Diceros bicornis minor: one gene and its partner. The protein of the gene in region 1 interacts with the protein of each later gene in a pairwise test. Links are inferred from orthologs where the notes say so. Each region holds a gene or a part of one and is shown in the gene's direction. Other genes may lie near its edges.

The links.
Region 2: the proteins of AP2B1 (region 1) and SLC25A6 interact in binary tests that used the Homo sapiens proteins (3 or more experiments, as listed by UniProt). The link is inferred for Diceros bicornis minor from reciprocal best matches to the Homo sapiens genes AP2B1 and SLC25A6.

The regions. Positions count from the first base shown.
Region 1 is NC_080757.1:24,118,800-24,130,143, forward strand, and holds the start of AP2B1 (AP-2 complex subunit beta), read left to right. Parts: upstream 1-7,013; 5' UTR 7,014-7,104; intron 7,105-7,518; exon of another isoform or gene 7,519-7,680; intron 7,681-11,344. Other genes in the region: PEX12 (peroxisome assembly protein 12), read right to left, coding at 1-441, 764-889. UniProt on the Homo sapiens protein: Component of the adaptor protein complex 2 (AP-2). Adaptor protein complexes function in protein transport via transport vesicles in different membrane traffic pathways.
Region 2 is NC_080781.1:1,082,788-1,092,371, reverse strand, and holds SLC25A6 (ADP/ATP translocase 3), read left to right. Parts: upstream 1-4,728; 5' UTR 4,729-4,816; coding exon 4,817-4,927; intron 4,928-5,944; coding exon 5,945-6,431; intron 6,432-7,124; coding exon 7,125-7,265; intron 7,266-7,798; coding exon 7,799-7,956; 3' UTR 7,957-8,262; downstream 8,263-9,584. UniProt on the Homo sapiens protein: ADP:ATP antiporter that mediates import of ADP into the mitochondrial matrix for ATP synthesis, and export of ATP out to fuel the cell.

The DNA.
Region 1 (11,344 bases):
GTGATGCTGAGCCTTTCCAAGGATGTATCGAAGCTGTTGTACAAGAAACCAGCCTTCCCAGGCCATGTTAACAAATGGATAGGCAGCCAGGAAGGCTCTGTAAAATCGTTTCCAGCGGAAAGAAGGGGGATGGATAGAATATTCATCCTCTTCTCTCAGGCTAGAAACCAGTTTCTCCAGCTTCACTTTCAGGTAGGGAAGAAGAACCAGGAACATAATTGACTTCCAAAGCTGCTTCTTTGGGAGACCAGCACTGGCCAGTCTCTGAAGCTTGTGTGTATCTCCCATTACAATCCGCTTTAAGCCATAAAAGTTTTCAGAAAATGAGGCACTGGTTTTAGACAGATAATGCTGCTGAAGCAGAAGATCTAGCAGGGTAAAGATTTCATCAAACCACCTCCAAAGGAAGCCATAGCGGGCAGGGTTTGATTCTGCAAGAACCTAAAGCAAAATAAATCAGTAAGTGAAATTCATTCCATTACAAAGCTACTATGCCTTGTATTTATATTTCCTTTTTTTCCTCTAAATTCTACACTTTGGGCTTAAACAAGTCACTTCTTTTGGGGTCTCCTGTAACCACCCTGAAGTGCTGGGTAGTCAGTTTAGGGCTCTAGACATAACAGGGACTCAATAACAGTTAAATCATAGGATATGAATTATATGCTAATTGGTTATTTCAAAAGTTAGACTACCAAATAAACTCAAATTTTTGGTTTTGTTTTTACCCAATCGTCCCTAAGACTTTTCAGAGAATTAATCTTACCTTGACCACATGCTGAAGAGCAGGTCTCACTGCTGTCATTAAACTGTCTTGTGCTACCACCTCAAAGATGGATGGCTGGTCATCCGCCACAGAAGCAGTTGTGATGTGAGCCCCATGCTCAGCCATAGTTTCCTGTGTGCACTTGGTTTCACTTTGCCCACCAATTCTATAGTAAGCATGAACTTTCCTGGGGGTATTAAATGGGTTCTCAGTCTTAAAAGTAAGATTTCTGCAGGATACCCGGAATTCCTAACTCAATTTTCCGGAACTGGCGGGGGGAAAGACCTCTTCTGGAGGCAGAGGGGAGGGGTCTCAAATTTAGGAAGTTAAGAGCGAAGTTAACGCAGACGTGGGTGCAAGAGGTGTGGATGTGTGGGATGACTCGTCAAATGCTGCACCTCACAGTGCAGAGCGTGACTATGGGGGACAGGTTATGGGCAAAGGACGCCGTCCTCTCGAGCTGCAGTCCTGGAGGCTGCTGCGAATCAGCGACTCGCAATCGTGAGGGCTCAAAACGAAGCGGGCTCTGAGGCCGGAGGTGCCAGTGCGGGCCTGTACGCGAGGACTGGCTCCAGCTGCTGGCTGTCAAGTGCCCCCGCCCGCGCCCGTCCTTGGGCGCTGACTCCCGGAGAGGCGCGAAGGACCCACGACGCCACAGTTGACTGGATCGCTGTGTGACAGAAGCCGCACCGGGAAATACAAGCTGCCGGGGTTTAGCGACGGCAGGCGGAGAGGCGCTCTAGCCCCGAACGCGGCCCCGAAACCGGAACTAGAAAACTCTATGACCCTCCCAGGACTTCCGCTTCCGCCCCGCTGAAATTAAAGGCGGCACTTGGGTGCTCGTGTGGAGAGGGTGTGTCCGCTCGGTTGTTCTACTTTCATTGTTTTGCATCGCAGCCTGGGTGGAAAGCCACAGCTGTGAATCCGTCTCTGCGGAGGCTTTTTTGACAAGGTGTTTGGGGCACCGCGCCGACGTGTGGCACCTAGAGCAAGAGCTCGGGCCGGCGGCTGAGGCCTTCGTTTCCGGGGGCGAGCGAGTAAGGGGCGGAGGGACAAAAAGGAATAGGCAGATGCGAAGTCTCTCTCTGTAGGGGGGAGAGGGATTGATTTATGGTCAGCCACTTCCGGGAAGGCTTTGAAGCGACGTAGCTGGGGATGAAAGTCTTAGCATTATTGCCGCCAACTATAAAGAAAGATTAGAATGGGAAAGGTTCCCGCTGTTCCTCAAAACTTGAGATAATCACTTTTCATTCAAGCCGGTGGTTTAACTGTCTTCTAGGTTTCGTTACATTCAAGCATAACTAGGCACTTGTTACAGTAGATGTAAATGGTTCTTACCCTCGTACACGGTAGGATGTGTCACATTAGTGATATGAATACAGTGCTAAGACAAGGGATCCTAGTGAACTGGGGAGACTTGACAGAGAAGGTACTTTTCATTGTTTGCATACCAAAGTTCGTGTAGTTTATCTTACAGTTAGCAAAGTGCTTTTACATCGTTTGCAACTTTGCCGCGTTTGAGTTGCTGATACAGTTTTATTGAATTTGTATAAGCGTTCAAGTTCAACTTCTGTCTCTCTGCAACCCCTCCCCGACCCCTGAGCTCAACAGCTAGAAATAGAAGGTATTATTCACTGCCCTAGAGAACGTTATGGTATAAAGGCAGATAATTGGTTTGCATGAGAACCCTCGAAAAATACGATTTGGGTTTAGTTATTTCAATAGGACAGAAAATCTTGCAAGTTAACAATAATTATAGTTCTAAAAAGTGTTTTTTCCTCTACCAAAATACCTTCCGGAGAAAAATCACACTGAAATAAGATTTTTACTTTACAGAATTTTAAGGACTAGAGTTAATGTATCTACATAAAGCAGCTGGTACATACTAGGTGCCCAATCAATGGTAGCTATTATATACAGCTTTTTCTTAAGTGAACAGCAGAAAGACAAAGTTGAGAAATAGCATCAATCAGAACAAGTGGGGAGGGCCAGCCGGGTGGCGCAAGTGGTTAAGTGCGTGCGCTCTCCTGCGGTGGCCTGGGGTTCCCCAGTTCGGATCCCATCGCAAACCCACACACGGCCTGGCAAGCCATGCTGTGAGGGCATCCCATATAAAGTGGAGGAAGAGGTGCACCCATGTTAGCCCAGGGCCAGTCTTCCTCAGCAAGAAAAGGAGGAGAGTTGGCAGATGTTAGCACAGGGCTGATCTTTCTCACACAAATAAATAAATAAAATGAAAGAAGTAGGGAATTAAACATTTGTATCAATTAGGGTTCTTTGGTTACAAGCAACAGAAACAGGCTAATTTAAAGTAAAAAATTTATTAGAAGTATATGGAGTAGCTAACAAAAGGAAAGCCAGCTCTGAAAGAACAGGAACGTCTCTAGCAAGCATTGGCAAACTCTCATCCAGGCAACATACAATGAATGAGCTGCAACAAATTTCTGTCTGTCACTGTACTTATGATTCAAATTCCTATTGACCTACCTTGGTTCAGATTTCCTCTCCACTGTTTCACTTAGCCAGAAGAGAAGGCAAGACACCTTGATTAATAGTCCTTTGAGAATGCTCCAAAAGTAAACTGAAGTTATTACATGAGAAAAAGGAAAGGCAGTCAAAAATAACATGTCAATTATTACAGCCAACAAATAATAAACACCTCATTACAAATCCCACCTTCAGGCTTATAGTGTAATAGATGAAATAAGACACATAAAAAATGATAGCACTTATTTATGTTAAAAGGGTTAAGAGCCATCAGATAGGTTAATATGATATGAATTTAGAGGAAGAGAGAACAACCAGCTGGGAGAAATAAGGCCATTCAGACTAGCTTAAACAGAATCATTTTAGCTTAGGTAACCAAACAAAAGGAAGAACGTTTCTTTTTTTTTTTTTTTTGTGAGGAAGATCAGCCCTGAGCTGACATCCATGCCAATCCTCTTTTTGCTGAGGAAGACCGGCCCTGAGCTAACATCTATTGCCAATCTTCCTCTCTTTTTTTTCCCCCCCCTTTTCTCCCCAAAGCCTCAGTAGATAGTTGTATGTCACAGTTGCACATCCCCCTAGTTGCCGTACGTGGGATGCAGCCTCAGCATGGCCAGACAAGCGGTGCGTCGGTGCACACCCGGGATCCGAACCTAGGCCGCCAGTAGCGGAGCGCATGCACTTAACCGCTAAGCCACAGGGCTGGCCCCAGAAATAATGTTTCTAACCTCTTATTTTATCTCAGCTTCTGTCTGCCAGTTGCTTTCTAATACAGTGATGTAACCTGGTACTTCCTGTACCTCATATAACAGATGGCCACTGAGAAAGTTTTGTGCATTAGGTGGACCTCAAAAGATGAGTACATTTGGGGCAAGTCACAGTAATGGTGATAGAGCTTTCCAAGCTAAGGGAGCAGGATGGAGTATATATAAGGAGGAAATTGTTTAGTTTGCTTTAACCATAGAGCCACAGAAAGGAATAGTAGAGAACATGTTGAAAAGTAGATTTAGGTGAATTACAGAGGGTCCTAAATGCTAATTTTAGTACTTTGTGGACATTCATTAATTTATTCAATAAATATGGAGTACCTCCTATGTGCCAGGCATTATGTTACGTGCTGGGTATAAAATAGTAATAAAAAGAGATGCGGTATCTGCCCTCATGGAATTTACGTTCTAGTTGGGGAGGGAAATAACAAGTAAGTAAACTAATAAATACATAATTTACAAATTGAATAAGAGGGCTGGGATGGGGGTGGCAGAGGGAGCTGGAAGAACAGAACCTTAGGTAATCAGGGAGTGCCTTTCTGAAGAGATTACACTGAAACTGAGACCTAAATTATGGGGAGCTAGCCATGTGAGGCGCTGGGGGAAAAGCATATTAGGCAGGAGGAGCAGTATTTGTGAAGGCCTTGAGATGGGACAGAGCGTGGCATTATTTGAGGGCTACAATAGCTAGCAAAAGGTGAAATGAGGAGGAAATGAGGTGTGACTGAAAGGCATAAAATGATGTTAGAGAGGAAGACGGGGGCCAAACTCATAGGGACTCATAGGCTGTGGGATGGAGACTTTATTTTAGTCCAAGTGCGATGGGAAGCCATGAAAGGATTTATACACCAGAGTCATGATTAGGTTTGTACTCTGAAGATGACCCTGTAATGGATATATAGTTATGTTTATTTTGTGAAAATTCATCAAGCTTTATATTTATGATGTGTGCCCTTTTTTTTTTGAATGTTATACTTCAAAAAAAGTTAAAAACCCAGCTTCACTATGGATAAAGGTTGGGAGGAGAGTTGAGGTTTCTAGTAGTTCAGGCAAGAGGTGATGGTGGCTTGGACTAATGAGGTGGAATAAAGGGGATTGGATGAATTTGAGATATTTTGAAGGTTGGGTTGACAACTTGGAGATGGATTGGATGTGGCATTAAGGGAGAGAGGGAAATCAAGAATATCCATCAGGTTTCTGGCTTGAGCAATTCAGTATAATTTATTGAAACAATCATAGAAAATATTTACATAGTCCATACTATGTGCAGGCATAGTTCTAAGTGCATTACATAGACTAATTAATTTCATCCTTGTAATAATATTATGATTGAATATTACTATTTTTCCCATTCTATAGATGACAAAACTAAAGAAAAGAGTACAGAGATGGGGAAAACAGGGGGAAGAATAGGATTTGGATATATTAGGCAACAAGGAGCAGTTGAAAGTTTTTGAACAGGAGAGAAGTATGAATCGAAGTTCTTTAAGATTTTTCTGGTGGCATCTTTACGAAGTCCACCTCTATCTGCTGGGAGTTGTACCTGAAAGCCAGTCTTTCAAACATCCCCCCCATCCCCTTATGAGATGCTTAATGTGAGTGGGACATAAATATAGAATTACCCATCAGTGTGGTTAGCAATTTGGTGGTGAAGTTTGGGGAATAGGTTAAGGCTAGCAATAGAGATTTCAGTCATATGGGTAGATAAGATAATTGAACCCATGGTATTTCTAAAGGAATAATGTAAAGACAATGTATGAGTATCAAACTTAAAAAAAAAAATCCTTGCTACTGTCTTCCTCAAATACCATCCTATATCTCTTCTGTTTTCAGCCATACTTTTTTACGGAGTTATCTGTAACTCCTGTTTTCATTTCCTCACCTCCTATTCATCCTTAAATTTCAGCGTGGCTTTTGCCTTCATATCTTTACCGATGTTCTCAGCATTGACATCAAAGACCTTTGTGTTGCTAAATCCTCGGACACTTTTCAGACCTTCTTTCTTCTCTCTGTAGCAACTGATACTGTTGACCACTCATTCATACGTTTATTCATTCAACAAATTGTGGGGAGGGGTGCTAGACCTCAGAGATAGAAGAGGGAACAGATTGGTATAGTTCCTACTTTCATGGAACTCTAAAAACATCGTAAAATATTATAACCGTCTGCTTTTCCTTCTACCTCTCTGACTGCTCCTTCTCAGTCCCCTTGGCATTTTGGTTTCCTCAGCTTCTGCCTCAGGCTCTCTCACTCCACTTTCTTTTTTTTCTTAATTAAATACTTGGTATTTTTCAGAGCAGTTTTAGGTTCACAGCAAAATTGAGAGGAAGGTAACAGATTTCTAGGTCTTGGTTTCTGAAATGAACCTACGTTTGTGTAAACACACCGATTACATGCTAGGCGCTTTACCTACTTTACTACTTTATCCCATTTAAGCTTCACAAGCTGGAGAGAGATATAGCATTGGCTTAATTTCACAGATAAGAAGACTAAAGTTGGAGGGACATTAAGTAACTTTCCCAGTCACATTCAGGGCAGGGATTGGAACTCGATCTAATGCCATCCTAACCTCTTTTCCTTGCACCACTCTCCTCTAGTCCCACTGCCAGTGTGTAGTCCTGGGCTGGATCAGCATTGCCCACACTACTTAAGTGGCCAGGGAAATGAGCTGTTTTTTTTAAAGAAAGGAACAGGATATTTCACCCTCTCTGAGTGTAAGTTTTTTAGAGAACTGTGCGAGGAAAAAAAATCCAGGGAACGTCAGCTTGTGTAATATATCCCTTCGGATAGCCACTGAACTTTCTCTGAGACCCGAGTCGCAGGTCTCTTTCCGACCAAGCAAAAAAAATCTTTCCGCCTGCAAGGCGACAGAGACCACCGCCGTTGTGTTCTCCCGCGCGCCGGGATGACGTCACGCGGCGAGGTTCTCTGACATCAGAGTTTCCTGTCCACCATCTTTGTCCCTGGCAAAGTGGCTTTTGCGCAGTGGCTTAGACCTGGAGGAGTCGTGACGTGCAGGAAACCATTACAACACCACTCGGGCCGTGCTCCCTGGCTGCTGCCGCCACCGCCCGGTCCTTGCCTCCGGTGAGTTTAAGGCGGCTAACTTTGGGGTGTGTCCTGCATTGATGGAGATGGGGGTAATCCCAGCTTGGGTTGGAGACGGGCGGAGGAAAGGAAGTCCTCGGAGCATAACCGTTGAGGATGGAGTGAGCCGTCGGGTGTGACCGTTGGGAGGGAGAGGGTTAGAGAAAGGGACTCTACTGCTCTGGCAGGGCGAGGGAATCCTCGGGTGTGGCAGCTGGAAATTGGAGGGCGCCGGGGGGGGAAAATGTGTTTCAAGTCGGGGTAGGCGGGCCAGAGGCCACGGGTGTGGCCGGTAGAAGCTGGAGGCCGATGGGAGAACCTTCCTTCTTTCCCACTTGGCGTCGTTCACTGAGGGGCTGGGACGTGTCCAGCTAATAAAAGGGAACAGGGATTCCCCCAAAGGTTTGCCCATTAATGAGCAAACCTCGCCCGTCTCCCGTGATTTGAGGTTAAGAGACACCTCTCCTCTACCTCGTAATGGAGGACCACATCCCCAGAATCTTGACCACCTGGGGAAAGAAGAGGCATTCCTGACACTTGGGGGAAGGGAAGAGAAACCTCCAGAATTGACCCGATGTAAGAGATGGGGAAGCAAGTGGGGGTAAATCTTAGCCCGGAATTTTTTCTTTCTGGGCTTAGCAGGAATGATCTGGTTTGAGAAAGGCTGTAGATTAAGCCAGAGGTAAAGAAACTGGAACTTCCTGTTATTTCCCTGTTCTTTGAATCCAAAGAATTTATTCATGCTGTTGGTTTTCAGAGCAGTGTTCTGTTTGGGGGGCAAGCTTTTACTGAACTCACTTGGCTGCTTCATTATGAAGCTATATGAATAAAGTGTGGATGCTTCATTAAACTTAGACTTCTAAAAAGAAGTTTTTTAAAAAATGCCAAACACTATCGTAATCATTGTGGTTTAAAAGAAAAAGTAAAGAAAACGCAATATGTTTAGAAAAGGCAGAATGACAAAAGAAGATGGTCTCAGTGAGGAAAATTTAAATTATTAATTACCTCCCTAGTATACTTCTATTGCTTAGCCTCAGGGTACATTTACAAAGTAATAATAGCAGCAGATGAAGGAGATGCAGCTGTACAAGAAAACGTGTAACACATTCCAATGATGACTAAGCGTGGTGGTAAGGTGAGAACTGTTTGCAGGTATCTTAAGTTAAACTCCCAAGAAAGCAGAAAGGATAATGTGTTCTGCAAACGGCCTCACTGAAAGTTAAGTGGTAAAATTAATATAAGACTAACATTCTGTGAACTAAGAGACTCAAGAAAGTCCATACTTCCATCTTTTCTTTTTTTCTTAAACAGAATATTACATTTTTCTTAAACAAAATACTCCATTTTAGGCATAGATTTGAACCAAGCTGAACAAGGAATGAGTTAGATAGGACATGTTCTCCTTTCTTCCTTCTTTCCTTCCTTTCAGGCTTAAGTTTTCCAGAGTTGATTGGTATTTTAGTTAAGAATTGGATCTAAAACTTGAGCTTCTTTCTTACTGTATAATATTAACAAATTGCTTTGTAGTCTGTCCTAGTTAAATGGAAATCACAGGTGTCCGTTGTACTTTCTTATGAGCTAAATGATACCTGAAGATGCTATTGTCTTTGCATTATTAAAATATTGGATTAGCATCTCTCCCCCTTGTAATAAAGGATTGGGGGAATGACCTTTCTGTTTTATAATTTGGTTAACTCTTTCGCTAGTTTTTCACTACGAGCACCAAACTCTGTAAAGCCCAACTTTATGTGAAAAGAAGGCATTTAGTGGCCTCACCAACTCTAATTTAGCCGCCATTTCCCAGAGAACCATTTGAAATTAAAACCCTATTAATTTTTTTCCAGCTTTATTTTGTTTAGTGGGACTGGAAGGAGGGAGGAATAGAAGGAGAGAAGGGACTTGCACAACCTATATTTAGTAGAAAGTAGGTTATGTTAAATCTAGATATATAATCCTGTGCAGGAGGCCTTCTCTGAAATGCAGTGGCATCACACTATGGTTTAGGACAAGTGAGAGTGATTGTTCGCTTTGACTGTGGCAGCTTTGTTGTTCAGCAGTGTCGCTAGGCCATACCACAAGTCCTCAGAACAGCCAGTGACTTGTCTAGTTTGATCTGGTAGAAAGGTAGTTTGAGTTCAAACTCCATGATAGCTTTGCTTTTTCCTGGGGTTCTCCTGGAGGCACAATCCCTCCGCCCCCCAGAAGAGCTTGATTTTTGCGACACTTCAGCAAATACTTGATTTTTTTCTTGAGCTCTATCTTGGCTTTTTCTTTGGCTTCTAATGCAGGCAACAGTTTTCACTGTCCTATATTTTGGAGACTCTGGCTGTGTCTATCTCTGGCATGTGATTAAGTATATCACATTTTAAAAATCTATACATATGTAATTTTTTGAGGTGAAATTCATATAACATAAAATTAACCATTTTATTTTATTTTATTTGTGAGGAAGATCAGCCCAGAGCTAACATCCATGCCAATCCTCTTTTTGCTGAGGAAGACTGGGCTAACATCTGTGCCTATCTTCCTCCACTTTAAATGGGACGCCGCGGGGCCCGGCCCAGTGGCTTAGCAGTTAAGTGCACGCTCTCCGTTGCTGGCGGCCCGGGTTCGGATCCCGGGCGCGCTTCGGATCCGGGGCGCGCACAGAGGCACCACTTGTCAGGCCATGCTGTGGCGGAGCCCCATTTACAGTGGAGGAAGATGGGCATAGATGTTAGCCCAGGGCCCGTCTTCCTCAGGAAAAAGAGGAGGATTGGCATGGATGTTAGCTCAGGGCTGATCTTCCTCACAAATAAACAAAACAAATGGGACTCCGCCACAGCGTGACCTGACAAGCGGTGCCTCCATGCGCGTCAGGGATCCGAACCCTGGCCGCCTGCAGCGGAGCGCACGCACTTTACCGCTACGCCACGTGGCCGGCACCCAAAATTACCCAGTTTAAAGTGAACAATTCAGTGGCATTTAGTATGTTCACAGTGTTGGGCAACCACCACCCCTCCACCACCTCTTCTCATTTTTTTTTGTTTAGACTGTTTTCATTTTTCTGGGAGTTTCTTTTGGCTTAAGGCAGGAACTGACTTGATACAATGTTTCTCTGCCAATATGGGTAAGGGATATTTCATTAGTATTGTTTACAGCAGTGTGAGTTGAGTGTAATGTTTCTCCCTTCTCTTTAAGAGCAGGGATTTTTAATTTAGGATCTAAGATTACTTGATTCTCTCCTCTTCCCTGAAATTTTGTGGGTGGGAACGTTACTCTCTTTAAATTAAGAACACTTAATGCTCACACTGAATAGGATGCAAATATATTCCTTGACAATGAAATTTTTTAGGGGAAGTAATAAAATGTGTGGGTCACTACTAAAGGTAGTGATAGGTTAATTTAATGTTTAACAGATTGTCTTGAAAACTCCTGTTAAGAATTTAATATGTGTGTATGTGTATGAGAGCTTTGGAAAAAAGAACAATTTTTATGCTCCTTTTCAAAGCAACTGGGTGAAAAATTCCATGCAGATTTTATTTTTTAATCTCAAGCAAGTTGTAAGTTTTGATGATCCCGTAGGACTTAGAATGGCATAATAACATTCTAGACAGACCATAATGGCCTTGAGCTCTGGCCCCACTGTCTGGCTCTAGTAACCGTTTCTGAGGACTGGTTTTTTGTTTGTATATCTAGGTTCTTAGATGATAACTTCATGTTTATTCCAGGTCTTTTTTTGTGAGATCAGCCCTATGCTAACATCTGCCAATCCTCCTCTTTTTTTGCTGGGGAACACTGGCCCTGGGCTAACATCCGTGCTCATCTTCCTCCACTTTATTATGGGATGCTGCCACAGCATGGCTTGCCAAGCAGTGCGTCGGTGCGCGCCTGGCATCCGAACCGGCGAACCCCGGGCTGCCGCAGTGGAGCGTGCGCACTTAACCGCTTGCGCCACCGGGCTGGCCCCTATTCCAGGTCTTTTATGTGAAGGGCTCCTTTCTTCGGTTTTCCCATTTCACATTTAGTTTACATTGTGAATGGATTAAATGATTATAACATTCTTTGAATTTTTGCTAGCGAGGGATTTTGCATAAAGCAAGCCTCTGTTGCAGGTTAATTTTTAGTTATAACAAATATTATCAAAACAGAAATTTCTGCATTCTCTAATGGTATTTGTGAGTTCTAGCTCCCATCTTTTAACAAGGTAGTTCAATGAAATTCTGGTACAACCTAAAGCACTATTGTATAAGGATCAGGA
Region 2 (9,584 bases), on another chromosome or scaffold:
GTCCCCAGCGTACCAGTGGAGACGCAGGTCTGTCTCACGATTCAGCAACTTACCTGCTTTGTTAAAGGAGCAAGCTTGTGCAGGTAACTCTGTATATTAGGTCATAGGAAGTATGCAGCAACTTACAGGTTATTTACAAACACAATTATTATTAGAAAACATTATTGTCAGAACTATGATTTCTAAAGTAAATTCTGTACAAAGGAAATTATTAGGAAAAAACACCCGACTGTCAGATGGGGGCAGCTAAGACCACCATAGGTTCTTAGACAGGTAGCTAACTTACAAATACACAGGCATTTATATAAATTTTCTCTGTGTAATACATTTTAAATAAATAGAACATATAAATGACCTATGTTTTATATATAAATGTGTAGGGATATATATTTGTAATTTACATACTATTATAATTGTAGAAATAGTATTATAAATTACACATTATAATTTACATATAATTTTACATATAGTTTTATAAGTACTATTATGATTTTTATACTATTACAAACTACATAATTATACTATAACACATATAATTTTGGATGGACTTCAAATTTTTTTTAAAAAGCACAAATGTGTCTCCCCGGGAGGCAGGACGTGCAGCATGGATCACGCAGGGGCTGAGCTGTCCGGTGTGGTGCCTGCAGCTCACCCGTGTGAGAGCAAAGCAGAGACGCTCACGGCCCCTCTGTCCTTGTCTCCCAGGTGGACCTGCAGAGCGAGTGGCCAGGAGAGCCGAGCGCCTCACCGGCCCCGCCCCGCCTCCCCGGGCTGGTGCACGGCTGCTGTGCTGGGTGACAATGACCCGGGCACCTTGGCCACCGCAGTCAGCCTCCTTCCTTTCCCGGGGGAACAGGCTGAGTCCTTCAGGTGCCCCTGTGGTCCCCGTGTTCAGCCAGGCTGAGCAGAAACCCGGGGCGTCCCCAGTGGGAACAGCGACTCAGGTCCAGGGCACATCGCACACCTGCTCTGCAGCCCTCGGGGTGCCCGGAGCTGTCTCAAGGTCACTGGGTTTCTCAGAAGCAACCAAGCGTCCGTCTCAAGGTCACCCGGTTTGTGCCTCTAACCAGAGGTGCCAGCTCCCCTGCCCGGGGCACCCGAGCCCCCCCAGCCCTGGATGCAGGGAGCCGGACGGGCTGGGGGCAGCGTGGCTGTGCAGTCAGCCCCGACCCCCGGACCCCAGGAGTGGCCGACCCTGAAGTCCCACACCCATGACTGTGCCCTTGAACCAAGGACCCACCCACCCGAGGGAGACCCCCGGGCCTGACAGTGAGGGCCTGATGACACGTGAAAGCCGACGGAGGGTCCGTGGGGTCCCCAGACCGCCCACTCCCCCTGTCTCTGCTGGACTTGCAAAGAAGTGAGAAAATATGAGTCCTCCACGACCCGTGTTTGCATTTATTAGAACTAACACCCAAAAACAGTGCTTTCAGGAGATGGTGGGAGAGAAAGTGAGTGTGTGTGTGGGCCCCCATACAGGTGTTTATTCTTTAGGAGACAAGATTTCAAGCTTGGAATTCTGGGCTGGGCAGCCTGACCGGACCCCCGCCCTCCAGGCAGAATTCATTCATTCCAAAAATATTTCAGCACACACTGCATACGGTACAGTCTAAATGCATTACTGGCTGCAACATCAGGGGTCGGGGATGGGGGAAGGAGCTAGGACAAGAGACCGTCAGGACCACACCCGTGTCCACAGCGCCCCGGCCCCTCCCCTGTCCCCGTGGGTCCTCATCTTTCGCCCTCCCGGTGCAGCCTCATGACACCCCACTAGACCACGTCACACAACGCAGGACTGGAAGGAACTGCCTGTCGACTAGGACAGACTCCCCGGGCCCAGCTCACAGCACGTACCCCCCAAATCCCTCCTCACCTCGATGACTCACCCCCAGGGGTCAGCTGAAACCCTGAATCACCTCCCCCGTTTCTTTCAATCACCCACCCCCTTCTCAGATGCTCTGGGGTGCAGATTCAATCAGATCACCTGCTGGCCCAGCCACAGCTCATCTCTCACTCCGTCCGAGCGCCACCGAGGGCTGGGTCTTGTCTCCTCGCTGCTGGGTCTTGGAACTTAAACCCTTGGAGGAGACGCTCCCCACCTCCGCTTCCCACTCACCCCACCTCTCCCTTTCCAGGCCCAGGTGCACAGTCTACCTGGGCTCTCCCCTCCCAGGTATACGGAGATCTCGGATTCCGGCGTGCACAGCCCCGCCACCCTCCCAAATCAGCCCTAGTGGGGCAGGGGAGCCATGACTCGCGCGCGCACGAGTTGCCCACGGGCAACACTTTCTACAGAACACATTCTGAGCCCCAGTCAGCGATAACAGGAAGAGACCACGTTCATTCATTCACTCATTCACTTGTTCATTCGAGAAGCATTCCCCCAGCACCGTCCTGAGGCCAGGCACAGGCGGCCAGGGACCCCCGGGCGCTCAGAGGAACCAACACACATCATACTGGGCTGAGCGGTGGGGTGGCAGCCAGGAATGCAGGCGGAGCTCGGGGAGGGGACGTCCCCACGCCTGGGGCAGGGGAGCGGGTCACTGAGTTAACGGCCCCCCCAGCACGGGAGGAATGTTCCAGTGTCCCATGACACAGGCTCTGAGACAGAAACACTGGTTCCAGGGCCTCACCCGCAGCCCCGGCCTGAGCAGATGCCAACCAGCTGGATCCTGAAGGAGCAGCTTCAGCTGGCTGGCCCCCGCTAGCCCCGTGACAAGCCTCGCCAGGGTCCCTCCCCATCACTGGGGTCCCTCCCGGCCCAGCGAGCTGATCCCGGCAACAAATGAACAAGAGGAGATGCTTTTCTCCTCTGAGACACGGACCCCTGAGCAGACATCTCGTCCCCCCACACCCCACGGCCGCCCTCTGTCCTCCACTCCAGAGCCCCATGGGGGCTGCGGGCGTGGACCTCCAGGGACTTTCTCTGCCCCTCTGTCCCGGTGAAGCCTCAAGAACATGCCAGAACCTCCAAGGCCCTTCCAACAGCAATGCCCCCAGGGCCAAGACGCTGACACTCCTCCCTCCCCCACAGCTAGACCACCCTCTGCACCTGGGCAGCCCCAGGCACTGCCCGTCCCCTGCTTCTCCCTGGAGGTCAAGACCGGACTCAGGAAGCCATGGTCAAGGACACGGGAGACTGGGGAAATCACCGGCTCCCAGTGCCCAAGGCTCTTCTGGGTGCTTCCCAGGCCTCCACCCACCCGTGAACCCATTGCCAGGGGGGTTTTACCTGCTGGTGGGGACGCAGGAGACCAAAAAGAAGCAAAGGGGGCAGGGAGAAAAATGAGAAAGGGAGGGAAGAAGACAGAGACAAACAGCGGGAGAAAAGAAACGGGATTCTGGCTCCCCGGTTGCTACTGAAGAGCTATTTGGTGCTCCTTACACCGTGTTCAGTTCGCGACGGTTACGACCTGTATCACTTAGTTACAATTCACTAAAAAGTCTGCAACATTTCAAAACACCTCGGCCTCGGGAGCGTCCCTGTGCATGTCTGTGTGTGCACGAGCATGTGTGCAAATGCATGTGTGTACACGCGTGCATGAACTTGTGTGCACGTGTGAGGGTGTGTATACGTGTGCATGAAGTGTGCATGTGCGCGGGAGTGAGCGTGCGCACGCGTGGCGTGTATGCACGAGCATAAGCGTGAGTGCATGCGTGTGAGTGTGAGCATGTGCCGGGCAGCACACGCCCTCCTGCCCCTCCCGGAGCCCCCACGTCGCAGCGCCCGGAGCGCCACCCGGAGTCCCGCCATGGGGTCAGGGTTCCGGGGCCCCCGCGGGAGCTGGGGTGGTCCCGGGGGGCTCGCGCAGGCCCCGCGGACGGATAGGAAGAGGGGCCGGGGTCTCCCGGGCAGGGGGCGAGCACGGCCTGGAGAGCCGGGCCGCGGGGGCACGTCTCGGGGGGAGCGAGTGTAGGGGGTAGGAGCGCCCTGGGGGTCGAGGGTCCGGGGGAGGGGGGCTCGGCCCCCTGCTCTGGCCCTGCGGGTCACGGCCGGGGTCCGGGGGTCAGCGGGGCGAACGCGGAGGTCACGACCACGGCTCGGGGGTCCGCGGAGCAAGCCCGGGGGGTCACGGCCGGGATCCGGGCTCAGCGGGGCGAAACCGGAGGTCACGGCCAGGGCTCGGGGGTCGGCGGGGCCAGCCCGGGGGTCACGGCCGAGGTCCGGGGGTCAGCGGGGCGAAACCAGAGGTCACGGCCAGGGCTCGGGGGTCGGCGGGGCCAGCCCGGGGGGTCACGGCCGGGATCCGAGATCAGCGGGGCGAAACCGGAAGTCACGGCCAGGGCTCGGGGGTTCGCGGGGCCAGCCCGGGGGTCACGGCCGAGGTCCGGGGGTCTGCGAGGCGAGCCCGGTGGTCCGCCGGCCTCCCCTACCCACCGCCGCCGTCTGTCGCCCTCGCGCGGGCCCGGCTTGACCTTGACAAGGTCACGGCGTCCGCCAAGCCCCCGACCCACAGGGCGCATGGGCGGGGCCCGGCTCCCGACATGCCTCGCGGCGCGGAGCGCGGAAGAGGCGGGGCGTAGTCGGCGCCACAGCCAATGGGCACGGCGCGCGGGTGTGCGGGGCGGGGCGCGGCGCGGCTCCCGGCAGCCTGCGGGGGCGCGGGATCCGGGAAGGGGAGGGGCGTCGGCGCGCGGCGCAGCCAATGGGCGCGGCGGGCGGGGGCGGGGGCGGGGCGTCGGCACCTTAGCGGCTGCGCGCTGGCCGCCCCGTCCTTTCGGTCCCGGCGGCGGCAGGGCTGAGCCAGCGGCGGCTACCCACGGCTCTCCGCGTCCCCGTCCGCTCTCCGCCCGCTGCGCCGCGCGCCCCGCCACCATGACGGAACAGGCCCTCTCCTTCGCCAAGGACTTCCTGGCCGGAGGCATCGCCGCCGCCATCTCCAAGACGGCGGTGGCCCCGATCGAGCGGGTCAAGCTGCTGCTGCAGGTGCGGGCGGCCTGCGGACGCGGGGGCCAGGGCCTGGGCGCGGCGGAAGCCGGCCGGGCCGGCCACGGGCACCGCTCCGGCGGGCGGCCGGGCACCGGAAGTGGGGCGCCGCGCCGCTTTGTCCGCGCGCCTCCGGCTTCCGGGGGCGGGCCGGGCGCGCGTCACGTGGGCGCTGCCGCATGGGCGGGGGTGGAGCCGCGGGCGCGCACGCGCTCTCCGCGTCGTGGACGCCTGCGCGTGCGCTTGGAGTCTGGCGTGCCGGGATGCTGCGGCGCTGGCCGAAGGGCGCATGCGCGCCTGCTGGCCGCGTGGACAGACTCTTTGGTGTGGGGGGGGCGGTGCCTTGGGCGCGCCACGGGGTTCCTGCTAACGCCCTTTGGCGTTGGACGTCGGTTCTTGCTCCCCCTTTTATACTCCGTGTTCTGAACCAGAATAAACTATCATTGTGTGTTGTTACAAATGTTGCAAGCTGCTGGAAATGTATCGTTCTGGTGGCAGCATTTGTTGCCTTAGAAATGTATGGCTCTGATGGCAACATTGTTGCCTTAGAAAATGGATTGGTCTGATGGCAACAAGATGGATCGCTCTGATGGCATCATTGTTGCCTTACAAAATGGATCGCTCTGATGGCAACATTGTTGCCTTACAAATGGATCGTTCTGGTGGCAACATTGTTGCCTTAGAAATGGATCGTTTCTGGTGGCAACATTGTTGCCTTAGAAATGTATGGCTCTGATGGCAACATTGTTGCCTTACAAATGGATCGTTCTGGTGGCAACATTGTTACCTTAGAAAATGGTTTGCGCTGATAGCAACGATGTTGCCATGTCTGTTGGCAACACTGTTGCAGCGACAAACAGTTACCGAGTTAAAAGAACTGGTGTTTCCAGATGTGAGGTCTCTGGGCAATTCGAAGTCCGCATGCACGAGCTAGTCTTTGGAGCGGACATCTTCAGTGGGGGTCGTGGTGGGTGTTAGAGAAAGGCCCCCGTGTGACCCGCCCCCATCGCCCCTCAGGTGCAGCACGCCAGTAAGCAGATCGCGGCTGACAAGCAGTACAAGGGCATCGTGGACTGCATCGTGCGCATCCCCCGGGAGCAGGGCATCCTGTCCTTCTGGAGGGGCAACCTGGCCAACGTCATCCGCTACTTCCCCACGCAAGCCCTCAACTTCGCCTTCAAGGACAAGTACAAGCAGATCTTCCTGGGCGGCGTGGACAAGCACACTCAGTTCTGGAGGTATTTCGCCGGCAACCTGGCCTCTGGGGGGGCGGCCGGAGCCACCTCTCTCTGCTTCGTCTACCCCCTGGATTTCGCCCGGACCCGCCTGGCGGCCGACGTGGGGAAGTCGGCCACGGAGCGGGAGTTCAAAGGCCTGGGGGACTGTCTGGTGAAGATCACCAAGTCTGACGGCGTCCGGGGCCTGTACCAGGGCTTCAACGTCTCCGTGCAGGGCATCATCATCTACCGGGCCGCCTACTTTGGCGTGTACGACACGGCCAAGGGTAAGTGGGTTCTCCCGGGCTGCTGACACGGCGCCGCTGGCCGGGGGGGCTTCAGCAGCTGACACTCATGTTTTCCCCGTTCTGGAGGCTGGAGTCTGAGACCCAGACGTGGGCAGGGCTGGTTTCTCCTGAGGCCTCTCTCCTTGGCACGTAGACACCCGTTTTCTTTCTGTGTTTTCACGTGGTCGTCCCCCTGTGCATGTACATTGTTGATGTCTATATGTCTTAATTTTGCCTTCTTGTAAGGATGTGAGTCTTATTGAAATAAGGTTGTGCTATATCATTTCATTTTATCCTGATTATTTCTGTAGAAAATCCGGTATTCAGATACAGTTCTGTTCTGAGATCTTGGGGGTTGGCAATTCACTGTGATTTTTTGAGGGGGCACAGTTCACCTGTGAAAGTAAGCCCCCCCGTCAGTGAGGGCCCAGGCCTGCTGGCACCTCTACAGCAGAACGGCCTCAGGTGTGGCATGTCCACTGTCCGAGCCTCGTGCATCCGCTGCTCTGGAGAGGCCACTCCCAGGTGCTCTGCTGGCCCCTGGGCCAGTCCCACTGGAGCTTGCAGGCGGCTTCCCCCTGTAGCTGACCCCACTGTGACCTCTCCAATGTCGCCTGGTCCCGGGAGCTCCGTGTGGAGCCAGGGGGCGGCAGAGTGCAGCTGTGGGGCCTAATGCTGGTGGTGACCCTGCAGGCATGCTCCCCGACCCCAAGAATACCCACATCGTGGTGAGCTGGATGATCGCCCAGATGGTGACGGCTGTGGCGGGCGTGGTCTCCTACCCCTTCGACACCGTGCGGCGACGGATGATGATGCAATCGGGGCGCAAAGGAGGTATCTTCTCTCGGGGCTGGGAGGGGGCTGGGCAGCGGGAGGTCAGAGACGTTCTCGTAGGGCCTCGTGGCCTCAGCCTGTGGGATTCTGGGGCCATCGGATAAGGAGTTTCCCAAGGTGGCCTGGCTTAACAGGAGGCTCTGGTCGATGGCAGTGACCCATGTCCAGGCAACACTGGATCCGGTTCCAACAGCCTCTTTTCTGGCCTTGCCTGCAGACTTGTTCATGCCCGTGTCCTGGGTCTGCCTCCCTTAACTGTCTCTGGGGCGTCCACGGGCCCTGAGTGGACCAGGAGTTGGAGGTGGGGTTCTGTGGAGGAGTTCTGTGTGTTTCATCCCCACCCCCCAGCAGTAGGCCCAGTGGGGCTGTGAGCAGGGGCACTGGGCATCCAGAGCCTCCTTTCCCGCGGTTCTGACTCCAAGTTGCCCGGATGGTGGCATCCGAGGATTAGTCTCCCTACCGTGTCTTTCGTGGTTCGCCTCGTGCCCGTTTCCTGAGGAACCTCCCGCTGACCCACACCCCTCTCCCTGCAGCTGACATCATGTACAAGGGGACCGTCGACTGCTGGCGCAAGATCTTCAAGGACGAGGGCGGCAAGGCTTTCTTCAAGGGCGCCTGGTCCAACGTGCTCAGGGGCATGGGGGGCGCCTTCGTGCTGGTCCTGTACGACGAGCTGAAGAAGGTCATCTAGGCCTCGCCGCGCCGGACCCGGGACCAACCGCACCTCAGAATTCCTAACTGTTACGGACCATTGATCTTCGAGAAATTCCACTATCCTTGTCCCGGCCCGATCCCGCATAGGGGCCGGGGAAGGCTCTAGACAGGGTCCTTGTGATCGTGACCACTGGCGCCCGGATTCCATGTCTCGATTGCGGGGGGGAGGGGAATCATGCCGTCTTCGTGGGTCCACGGCCAGGCAGCTCGGAGACACGGCCATAGAGTCCAGGTAGGGCCCGCCTGTGTTTAAGTATTTATTTAAAAAGGAATCATGTTTCCCATTTGTACTTAAGCACTATCTTTTGCACAGCCGAGTATTTCCGATTACGTTCTGTGTTGGGCATTCCGCTGCAAAACAATAAAATCGGGGCACAGAGACCCTGTGTGGTGGTCTGTCTGAACCAAGCGGCCTCGTGGGGTTGGCGGCCCAAGGGGTCAGGGTGATCTCCAGCTGGGAAGCGGCAGGATTGAAACCGGGGCCCTGGCTGCCCGTCTGCAGCCTGGTCTGTCCCCCAGGCCGCCCGTGGATGGAAGAAGGGACAAACAGAAGCCAGGACCCTGGGGTCTCGGAGCTTCTCTGTGGGGAGGCTTGTTTGCTGACAGGCCTCTCCTTTCTGAAGTCCTCTTCTGCCCTGAGCTCCTGGGGTCTTCTCCATCCACCATTCGAGCATTAAGCCACCAAGGAGCCCCCAGGGGTGGCAGCTGCTGTGCGTCCGTGGCCCACGCCTGCCCTGGTCTCTCATGAGCATTCACTGCCCCGTGTGTATGCCTGCATGGGGGAGCCCGTTGCCCAGCCCCCAGGCAGCTCAGCATCCACCCCATGGAGCCGTCTCTGCACAAACACTTAGGTTCGGTGCAGGAAACAAAAAAAAACTGCAGTGTCCCCCGGGCTGAACTTGGATCCTGGTATCGTCTGCCTCTGGGCTGGGTGAACTGGGGTGGGAAGGCCGGCCCTGCTCTCCTGGGCGTCAGAAATCCTGGCCCAAGAAGGCAGATTTTGTTTTTTCTGATTCCAAAACCTCGGTACCTACAAACCTTCATGTCTGTGGAACAAGACGGTTACATTAGAGATGGAGAAATTGAAGCAAGCTTGGCCCAAGATCTGCTGGCTTCCATGGGGTAACAAGACAGGACAGGACTGTCCACCGTCACCCCCACAGGGGCCCTGCCCGCCTCCACGGAGGAACCTTGTCGGGGAGCCCCGGCGTTCAGGGTGGACTAGCTTTGAACCTGGACACCCTCCGTGTCCTCCCGGGAGCTGTGCCGGATTGAGAATGAGGACATGGCCTCACCCCGTTCCTTCTAGCCTGGTGGGGAATGGCCCATTCAGTTAGATAATTACGGCCCCGTTTAATTAGCACTTCGCTGGAATCCCGTCAGCCTAACCCTGGGACCCGTGGGGCATTCTGCACGTCATCACCTTCTCGCTATTCAGCAAAGTAGGCAAAGTCGGAAAATGCAACTCAGGCTGATTTCCTGCCTGTAAGAACCTGGAACTCTAAGGATGGAAGCAAGCCAAAAACCCAGAGGTCACTTCGCGACTCCACGTGCCAGACAGCGTTTCCAGGGGAGCCCGCCTCCTGGAGACCAGGTCCCCGAGTG